Linked DNA regions of Drosophila melanogaster. The protein of the gene in region 1 interacts with the protein of each later gene in a pairwise test. Each region holds a gene or a part of one and is shown on either strand. Other genes may lie near its edges.

Region 1 (3,146 bases):
CAGCTCGGTCAGATTTACAGTGGTTCGAATGGAACGAAAATTGGTTGAAAACAATTTAGGGTCTTGTCACAATCTTTAGATGCTTTTAGCTACAAACTACAAAATGGTTTCTTTTTTTAGAAATTTTTTAAACATCATAACCTGACAAGAACATCTTTTCCAAATATTTCTTTATTTCACCCATCTGGGTACAGTAATCCCATACATAGATATTCTGTAAACTGCAACCTTCACGAACCTTAATGTTTTTCAAGACTCAGGTTCCCACTCACCGTCGCAGCTAACAAAATTATCCGTAGCAAGTAGAAAACACCTTTCACAAAAGTCCCTATACTCGGACTATATATGCCTAGAAAAACCTCTAGGAACAAATGTACCTTTCCAACATAGCAGATAGTTTAGTAAAAATTCTTTACAAGTAGAAACACATCGAGAAATCCATAAACACTTACTCTAAAACCTGCAAGTCGTAAAATTGCACGCATGTTCCGTTTGGTAAAACCCCAAAAATCACATTCGAAAACTCACATTCCCACGACTTTGAATAGAGGTTCTCAAATTAACCGTAGCAAGTTGAGAACAGGCAACAAAAAATCCGTAAGATACTGATTTCCAAACCTGCGAGTCCCAAAATTGCACACATCTTCGCCTTGGAAAACCCCATTTCCGACATCCCAAAACTCGCATTCCCACGATCCCTACAGAAATTGCTAAAACTTTGTCTAGCAAGTAGATAACAGTATGCGTAAATTCCGTAAACCTTAAATTTCACGTAGTTGGAAAAGCCTTGAAGAATTCATTCAAGCAAGGCACCCTCAAAATTCCCGCATGTGTTTCATCGGTTTGGCCCACTGTGCCATGTGCATAAGGGCTCGGAACTCGGAGCTCGGACTCGGGACTCGCACACGGGCTACCTCCGATTATAACTTATAACACCAACGAGCGAGAAAAATCTTGTGGGAAACTTGAGGGCAAAGTGTTTCCCACGATTCGAATGTCAGTGGAAAGGAAAACAGAGAAGCAGCATGTGCAACCACCGTCGCACCACCACCACTGCACTATCGCATCTTCATCCCCTGCCGAGACTCACTTACACCGAACACCAGTGGCCATAGCAATAGTACTGAGAACATATTTAAAGTTCTAGATAATGTTTATATTTTCAAAATCACTACTATTAAGAAGTGTGCTAATTTAATTTTTTAGGTGTAAACGTATAACATTATGTTAATTTCTTTTTGTTTAATAAAACGACATTTAAGTGCTTTAAGGGAAACCCATTTGAAGTAATTGTTAAAAACGTAACGTACTTCTTAGGTATATAACAACAAATTTGTATATTCGCTCGAAGAACTATAGCTGCTTTAAACACATTTCTCATACTATTTTTACCGCAGGTGTGTTCCAAACTTGTTTGTGGAGAAAAACCCACCACCGAAAATGCAGGCGAGAGGATCGTGTCCCAGTGACTGAGTAAAAGTAGTTTGCTCCGCAGGTGGTGGTTCTTCGGAGGCTCCGCAGCTCTCTCTTCTCTCTTTCTCCGAGCAGCGTGCGCTGAGCACGAGACGCTCTCGCGGCGGCACGTGCAGCTATAAAAGCAGCGGTAACCGGAGACGAATGCAACATTTCGAACGCAATCGTCGTGCAGTCAACATCTCAGGATAACCTCCTCCGAAAGATCGAAGAAGTTCTTCAACAAGTCGTTCTTCCATTTACCTAAACGCAACAAATAAACAAAACAAACACACAATGGCCACCAAATACGAGATGTCGAAAACCTATCAGTACCGCAAGGTGATGAAGCCCTTGCTGGAGCGGAAGCGTCGTGCCAGGATCAACAAGTGCCTGGACGAGCTCAAGGATCTGATGGCCGAGTGCGTTGCTCAGACTGGCGATGCCAAATTCGAGAAGGCCGACATCCTGGAAGTCACCGTGCAGCATCTCCGCAAGCTGAAAGAGTCTAAGAAGCATGTTCCGGCCAATCCCGAACAGAGTTTCCGTGCTGGATACATCCGGGCAGCCAACGAAGTGTCCCGCGCCCTGGCCTCCCTTCCCCGAGTGGATGTGGCTTTTGGAACCACACTGATGACCCATCTGGGCATGCGTCTCAACCAACTGGAGCAGCCCATGGAACAACCGCAAGCCGTCAACACTCCACTCAGTATCGTCTGTGGATCCAGCTCTAGCTCCAGCACCTACTCCAGTGCCAGCTCCTGCTCCTCCATCAGTCCCGTTTCCAGTGGATATGCCAGCGACAACGAGTCTCTGCTCCAGATCAGCAGCCCCGGACAGGTGTGGCGTCCCTGGTAAACAAAGATCTACTTGGAAGGACTGAATTCCCGACGGGCAATCACGCAATTGGAACCGCAGCTTTAGAAAAAATGCTTTACAATGATCCTCATTTATTTGTTACGTTACCAAGTTTTAGGTTTCTAAGTTAAGTCTGTGATAGGGCACGCTTTATTAACTTTTGTCTTAAATCAATCGAGCAGAAGTCTGTTTTTTACTCTACATATATACAAATGTTTACCAGCTAAGAGATCTCAAGAACACAATATGAAAAGATACAAAATGAAAAACTTAAATACAAATCAAAATATGAAATGAAATTATACAAGAATCTTATTATTTGGGGAATCTATTTTACAGCACAATCCAATAGGGGATATTGAACTTCAGTATTTGTCTTTAAATTCCAATAGGAAGAAGATTCCATTGAAAATATTTAATGTTGGTATGCGCGAACTTTAAGGTCCAATATAATAAAACGATCGTGTGCACTAGCTTATTTAGGACACGTGTAAAAAAATGGACTTCCCATAAATTATGTTCATTATCTTAAAGCCCATCATTATCCTAAACGAGCTATATTAATAACAAGTTTCAATAACAGTTAAACATAATAGCAAAACATGCTCCACTAATGTGCACTTAGTTGTCAAGCATGCATTTAATAATAAAAAGGAATTTAATTTCATATTTTTAATGGTCGTTATTTTTCATTTGCACGATGTGTTTACTTATATTCTATTTCAGTAACTATTTTGTCAACAGACTATGAAATGAAAGTATTTGACATCCTTTAGCACAATACAATACATTGTTATAAACCTTAAATGCGGCATTATAATTTTTCCACCAATAAA
Region 2 (3,805 bases), on another chromosome or scaffold:
ACATAACGAGGGCAAATCGAAGGGAAAAGAGGTAAAAAGTAAGCAAAAGCAGGAGCGCATTTCGCAAAGTAAACGTTGAAAAAGAGTTGAAAAGTTGAGAAATTCGCCATTTCAGTGGATGGAACGGGGTAATCGATTAACTACCCCAGCACCCTTTTTGTGTCCCTATCCAGGATGAAAGCCGATCGGAAGATAGTCACATGAAAACATATGAAACAAAACGACTTTCACCACAAAAAAGCCGAAAAGGATAACGTGCGAAATATACGATCCCCGTTAGCGAAAATCTTTCAGCAATCGATCGCAAATAAAGATATCTCCAGGGGACCAGAACCCATTCAAAGATGCCTTTACATGCTGAACTAGATCAGAACGTCAGATAGCAAGCCACGTCGGTCACGGACACTTTGAGTGATCCAAGTCCAGGAGATGACGAGCGCCGATCACTTGAACGTCACTTAGGATCGCTGGTCGATGATCACTTGAAGATCACTCAGGGATCTCGATGATCACTTCATCTACAGCTGGTCAAGAGCCACATATGGGGGCAGTTATCTTTGATCTTGTCATCGGAAATATAATCTACTTATTGGTTCCATATTTCATATTCATATGGAGGACAGCGGCTGTGCTTTAAAATATAGATCACTACAAAGGTTATGGGAACCATTTCCTTTTACATTTACATTTCAAAGTTAAATCCATACAAGTTGTGAATTTGCATTGCATGAGGCCCATCTATTTGTAGAAAGAACACTTATTAAAAAGTTGATAATTTGATAATGCATACTGTGTACAAACTTTTCCCCTGTTGGGTGAGCAACTGACGCTTTGCACAGGACTTTTCCCAGAGTTTGTAACGTTTTTCTAATGCTTCCTTCCGGAAGTGGCAAACATTTTCAATTAAAGCCGCCGAGTATATAAATTGCATTTGCGGCCGCTAAAGAGCCGCAATTAATACTGATACCGCGCTACGACAAGTGGCTAAAATGACGAGGAGCTGTCGGCCAGGAAGTTGGACTTGGCATCGGCTAATTAGCCGGCCAACCTGACTTCCCTTCTCCCTTTTCCGTTCACTATTTTCCAGCCTGTTGCTGCTCTAAATGTCCATTCAAATGAGGGGGAGACAAGGGCGAAAGGAAGCAGACTTCCTTGAGGGGAATGAAAGCAAATTTAATAACCAAGCGCTGGCCGATAGACATCTAGATGTCATTTTCGTGTGGTGGTGCTGTGGATGAGTGCCTGGATTGGAGTGGGTGATTCTCGGCCGGTACTGCGAACTGTGGGAAAGGACGAATACCTCCAATACCTCCATCAAAATATCAGATCTCGTTGGCATAGAGATCATACTTTCATATTCTAAGCTAAGCTGCTGATATCCTCGAGCTTGTTGCTCAAGTTCCTCGAGATCCAAAGACAATTTGCTACCACACACATCCGTTGGCCAAAGAGAGTCTTTTCATCCAAGGAGAGAACGCCGGAGAGAGCGAGTGTCCTTCTGCCCGCCGGGGTGCCTCTTGCGCAACAACCCCTAGCCCCGTAACCCCTAGCCATTAACCCCTGAGCGCCGAGCGGGTATAAAACGCAGCCCGCTCCCCGTACCGCTTCAGTTTGTCAGCGAGAGCGGTCGAGAGCAGAAGACTAGCAGAGTCTAGAAGTACATCTTTTTTTTTTGTGCACCAGGAGCAGCAGAAACAGAACCACACACAACATGCTGAAGTGGACGGCATCGGCGCAGCGCCTGAACGAGATTCCCGTGCACGATCAGGATGCCAACCAGCCGCAGAGGAGGAGGCTGCAGAGGAGGCAGCGCCGTCAGCGGAGGGCCACCATTGCCAACAAGGAGAACGTGCCTGACACCGTGGGCTACACCTCCACGCCAGTGCCCATTACCCGGCTGCGCAACAGTCCCCTGGTCCTGGCGCCGCTGAGCGATATCCGGAATGTCACCCCGGAGGCGGTGGTGCGCAGTCAGGCGCCCCAAAGGGTACAGAGTGTGCGATACGCCACCACATTGCCACGTTTTGCCGAGGACTACTCGCCCAACGGACTGCCCAGTGGTCAGCACTTGGCGCTGAGGGGCCTGGCTCCGTTGGATCCCTTTCTGGGCCAGCCGCGCTATATTGTAGGCTCGGGTGCAGGAGTTAACAAACTCAAGCAGCGTAGACTGGACGAGGACTTTGTGGCCACCTTGGAGCCGGAGTTGCAGGAGACGGCAGTGCCAGAGCCACCCACCCCCAAGGTGGAAGTGCGTCCAAGCACACCGCAGCCCGCCTCCACGCAGATGGGTGATCAGACCTTGGATCGCCTAATCGATGCCATCTTGGATTCCGCCTGCAAGGCGAACGCCAGCAGCAAGAAGAAGCCGAGAAGGTCCACCTTCAATCTGCGCAGACGCACCTTGGTCAAGCAGCAAATGGAGTCGAACTGCCCCCAGGAGGTGCTGTCGCCATCCTACGCACCTGGAGACGATCCGGCCTCGGATCTGAGCTTTGGCCTGGTTCCCCTGCCCATGCACAACCTGATGCCCACTCCGGAACCGGCATCGCCCCTGGCCAAGATTCCTCACAACTTGCTTGTCCAACTGGCCACTCCAGTGGCCCCCAAGTCTGCCCCCTGCGACAACACCTTCTGCCTGGAGACTCCAGTCAAGGCCCTGAAGAGGACCCGCAAGGAGATCGTCGCCAAGGAGTCCCCCATTAAGCGCTACAAGGTCGACGAGCGCAATTACTTCGAGGTGGGATTGGCCCTGCCCTCGTCTATATATGTCTGAGCAGAGGTAATTTCAAACAGATCCTCGGAAAGCCACAAAAATGAGAAGAGAAACTAAATGCGAGATGGAGATGAAGATGGAGACGAGAAAGCGAGCAACGCTGACAAACGGGGGGAAAACGCTTAACTATGACGCTTAACTAGTTCCTAAGTCGTAAACTAATCATCTTTCAATTACTGTACATAATTTCTTAGGCCACCTTAATCACTATTTATTCCAATTACTAATATAACCATTTTTTTTTTTGCTGCTGTTATGTAGTTTTCGAATATACCTTTTTTTTCATTATTTAATTTTAAACAAATATGAATATTTATTGCTACTTTAAGTTACCCAAATAATTATTTTTTCAAAATAAAAGCATTAAATCAAAAACAATGGAGTACACTTTTCTTTTCTTTTGAAACGGGGAAAACTTTATATATCAGCTTATCATCATTAATGTCGCTTTTTTGAGTAACTTTGGCTACTTCCATGCGTACTGCCCAATATAGGGATATGGGATTGTATTGATTTCAAAATGGTGATATTTGAAAAAGACTAGACTATCTTCATAGTCTAGAAATGTTTTCTCATGTATCCATTGGAATCTACTCTTTAAATGTTAGGTTTATAGTTGGTTTCTGAACTATTTTCGAGATACGAACAAATATCATTTTTGTTGTGCCATAGCATCGCATCGAGTTTTCTGATGAATGCGAAACATCTGCGGTGACCTTCGTCACCTACGCAATATCCCAGCTCGTGCCGATTGCATTTTGACCTGCCGATACGTACAACATATATTTACACAGTTGCTTGACCAAGCGATTTGCTTTGCTTTTCCAGGCGACCAAAACAAACAACGGCGATGCAGGTTGGGAACTGGGAATAATTGAATGCCTGACAGGTACAATGGCACGCCCCGGGATCTACAATCAAGAAGAAAAGAAGAAGTCAGAGGCAGCCAACAGCTGGTCCACTCCTTGTTTCCGAGGACTCAGGACTCTGCGTCCGCTGTGCTGCTCAATTGGCTATTTTCCCATCGAACTA
Region 3 (3,783 bases), on another chromosome or scaffold:
AACATTTCAATCCGTGTGTGCTGCACACTTGTTTTTCCTTCTTTAGCCCCGATTCCACGGCAATTTGTGCACTTCGCTGCCGTTCGTTTGTTTTATCCCAATCTTAATCTTTATTTTTATCCCAGACTGGCGGCTGGCTGGCTTTCTCCGCACCGCACAAGCACACACACTCGATACAATCGCACACACCTTGATGCGCTCCTTTGGCGAGCCACTCATTTGATTTAAAGGCCTTTTCCGATTGGCACGCGCGTCCGCCACCCGCACACACGCGAAAAACACGACCGTTTCGCTCGAAGTCTCGAAATCGAAAAAGTGGAAAAGCCTACAAAAAGTCTGTGGCATTTCGGTTGGCAGAGAGCGCATTGTGCGCTAAGAGAGCGACTAAGAGAGGTCCGCATGCGGTGTTTGCGGATATTTTCACATTCCGGCTACGGCCACACTGCTGCAGCAGGGGTTGATGAACAAATAACCGGCGGTTGTTGCACACGCTAAGTTGATCGAAATGCAAAACTTAATAGGCTATTCACACTGATTTCATTTGAATTTATGTTTGATTTCGTTACTATTATATCAACAAGATATTCTGTAACAATAGAAATAATAGTATAGTCTATATAGTATAGTATATATATATAGTATAATAGTCTTTCATCTAATTTATTTTTTAGCCAGTTGTTTAGTTTTAGTTTTTTTTTTAAAAATGTAGCTACCATACAAGTTCGCCTCAAGACAATGTTTTTAATTTAAGACTAAAGACCGTATAGATTGATCTTTTGCACAGACGATTGTTCATACACATTACACTTATGACGCTAGAAAAAGAACGTTTGAGAAATTATAATATCTTCGGTTCGCTATGCTGCTGCTTTGTACGTCGAGTGAATTAGACATCTGTGTCTGAGAAAGGAACGAATTGAAAAACATACACAGGGTCGAGCGCCGCGACTCTATTCCCAACTTAAAGCTAAAGCTGTCATACAATGTCCTTACCACGTGGTGCTAGTAGTCGGGATCATGGTTCCAGCTTGATGGTCGTTTGCTTTATTAACGCCAGCACTGCCTCCTGCCGCTCCATATACGCCAGAAAGTTATGTTTCATGTCCAGGAACTGCTTCTCCTTGCGCACGAGCGACTGCAGACAGGCGTCGTTCTGCTGCTCGAGCAAACTGTTCTCCTTGCGCAGCGCCTCCACTATTGCCATTGTGATCTTGCCCGAGTGCGGCAGTATACTACGTCGCCCTCGTCTCCTTTTGCTCGCCGAACGTTCGGCGTCCGTCTGGCCACCGTTGGTGTGGCCTCCATATGGCGCATCCTCTGCCTCGGGCAGGATGTGGTTGGCAGGCGTGAGAGGCGACCGCTGAATGACACTTTCGGCAGTAGCTCTCTCCAGGTAGTGGCTAGCCGCGTTTTCCAGCTGCGTCACTGTGGGCTTGTATTCAATATTCACCAGCTGGTGGTGTTCGTCTGGCAGAGGCTCTGTCTTCACTACTGCGGGAACTAGGGGCTGGGCATCGAGGAAGGTGCATCCCTCTGAGTCGCGCTCAAATTTTAGCTGGGCGGGCGAAGTGTATAGCAGTGGCGGCAGGGCGGGCAAATCCACACGTGCTGTCGCACGGATCGTCTCCAGCACATTGCGGAAATGGAAGAGGGCGGACGACGGCCAGGCAGGACAGAAGAGGCAATCGATCAGCGCGTAGAGACGCCAATCCTTCGCGAAGTTCGCATTGCCCCCCACGCGATTGCGATCGTTCCTGCAGAGAAGTGGAAGGAGATATTAGCACTGTGAACTGACCCGAGCCGCTGCTGCGCCTCACAAATACTTGTTGCGGTAGCTGTTGATGCGCCGGCGAGCCTCCTGCTTATTGAGCCGAACTCCGTTCTGCTGCAGGCCGTGCGCGATTTCCCGGAAAATGGGCAGGTTGTCCGTGTAGGAGGGTATGGCATGCAGGTGCTCGCGCCACAGCCGCAGTAGCATGGCCTCCTCCAGCGACGTGTAGTAGCGCAATCGCAGGTGCTTCTGGCCGCTCATATTCCGGTCTAATTTCAATTTTGTGGAATCGTTATAATCCAAACATTTTCGTACGTGACCAAGGACCAGGCGTGGAAATACCAATAACGCTTGAGCGCGGCAGGCGCCAAAAAATACCATCAATGATTTAAATTTTCTTATAGAGCTATTGAAATCTGGAAAAGATATATCTAATATCTTAATAATTTTATTTCTTAATATTGGACTAGCCCCAAAGCCATTCTCCCAGCTGTAGTATATACATGATACTGATATGGTACTAAATGAAATTTATTATATTACTTATTTCAGGAAATTCGCTCAGGAATCTAGGCATTTTCGGCGTTCTCGCGCCGCAAGGTCACACTCTTCTGTGTATCAGAGCTGTTGTTGATTTTTTGTGCGGAAAAACTGCACTTGGCTTCAACCATTCTACCACAGCGTCGCATTGTGTAACTAGAGTGGAGATCGCATATCCAAAGGCAACGTTACAGGGATACATCTGCGGGAGCAGATCAGGAGCCGGTGCAGAGCAGTCGATGGACTACGAGAAGCTGGCGTTGAACGCGGGCGGAAGCGGCAGCGGTGCCGAGCAGGACTTAGGCATGTGCGGTGGTCAGGAGCTGCTCGATGGCAGGGGCAAGGAGAAGGCGCGTCGCTACTGGACGCCCAGCGAGGAGGAGCGCCTGTACGAGATCTGGGGACGCGACAACTGGCGCCTGACGCGCACCGGCAAGAACACCATCTTCTTTGGCCGGTGGGCCGAGGAACTGCGCGACCGGTTCGCCGTGGACGTGAAGCCCGAGGAGATCCAGATGAAGGTCAACCAGACCAGGGCCAAGTTCAGGTAGGTAACCGTTTAGACACTTTGCTATACCGGATTAACTGACTGGTTTCCCTTTTAAGGCAAGTCAAAAAACAGCTGCAGGCGGATCCTTCGAGCTATGCTACGCGCTGGAAGAAGTACGACATTATCAATCGCATCCTGAAGAACCTGCACAGGCCCAAGAACGCCGATCCGCTGCCGCCAGAGGCGCTGCTCAACAACCGCGACATGACACCGCCCCGGGATGATGCGTCCGCAGAGCAGTTGCAGCAGCAGCCACAGCAGCAATCCGTTCAGCAGCAGCAGCAGCAAGGCTTGGGACTGGCCAGTGAGCCAAGCACTGCCACCTATTACAATAGCAGCAGCAATAGCAATCACGGCAGCAGCCACAACAACAACACCAGCGGCGGAGTTAGCTTCAACACGGAGCTGTTTACGGACCAGTATGACGAGGTGGTCAAGCAGGAGTACGAGGACGATGAGTACCGCTCCATTCCCTTTCAGGAGCAGTTGCAACAGTATTCCCCAGCCGAGCCGGCTCAGCTGCTCGAGCTGCAGACGCCACAGCAGCAGCAACAACTGCAGCAGCAGCAGCAACAACAGCAGCAGTTCCAAACAAACTATGAGTCGCAATTTCAGCAGCAGCCGGCTCAATTCAATAACAACAGCGTTATTAGCACTGCGGCCACATCGACCGTCAACCATCAGCCCATAACGGCGGTAGCCTATATCAATAGCAGCAATAACACCATCAGCGTGGCCACAAACGCAAACGGAGGCATGCCAGCGCCGGTGCCCGCACAGGTATCGGCATCGGTTCCGGCTGCAGCTCCAGTTTCGACCACCAACAACGCCGTCGTTGGCGCCTCCCCCGTCCCTGTGCCACGGAAGCGCGGTCGTCCATTCGGATCTGTGAATCCCCCACACGCAGACTCGCTGGAGGCGC

The links. The genes of interacting proteins can lie anywhere in the genome.
Region 2: the proteins of E(spl)m7-HLH (region 1) and CG12496 interact in a two-hybrid assay, tested with the Drosophila melanogaster proteins (one large-scale study listed by BioGRID).
Region 3: the proteins of E(spl)m7-HLH (region 1) and CG14005 interact in a two-hybrid assay, tested with the Drosophila melanogaster proteins (one large-scale study listed by BioGRID).

Annotation. Positions count from the first base shown.
Region 1 is NT_033777.3:26,035,414-26,038,559, forward strand, and holds E(spl)m7-HLH (enhancer of split m7, helix-loop-helix), read left to right. Parts: upstream 1-1,624; 5' UTR 1,625-1,749; coding exon 1,750-2,310; 3' UTR 2,311-2,606; downstream 2,607-3,146. UniProt on the Drosophila melanogaster protein: Participates in the control of cell fate choice by uncommitted neuroectodermal cells in the embryo. Transcriptional repressor. Binds DNA on N-box motifs: 5'-CACNAG-3'.
Region 2 is NC_004354.4:2,408,703-2,412,507, reverse strand, and holds CG12496 (uncharacterized protein), read left to right. Parts: upstream 1-1,606; 5' UTR 1,607-1,711; coding exon 1,712-2,773; 3' UTR 2,774-3,143; downstream 3,144-3,805.
Region 3 is NT_033779.5:5,799,855-5,803,637, forward strand, and holds CG14005 (uncharacterized protein), read right to left. Parts: upstream 2,122-3,783; 5' UTR 2,033-2,121; coding exon 1,818-2,032; intron 1,755-1,817; coding exon 1,016-1,754; 3' UTR 663-1,015; downstream 1-662. Other genes in the region: CG7239 (uncharacterized protein), read left to right, coding at 2,551-2,858, 2,918-3,783.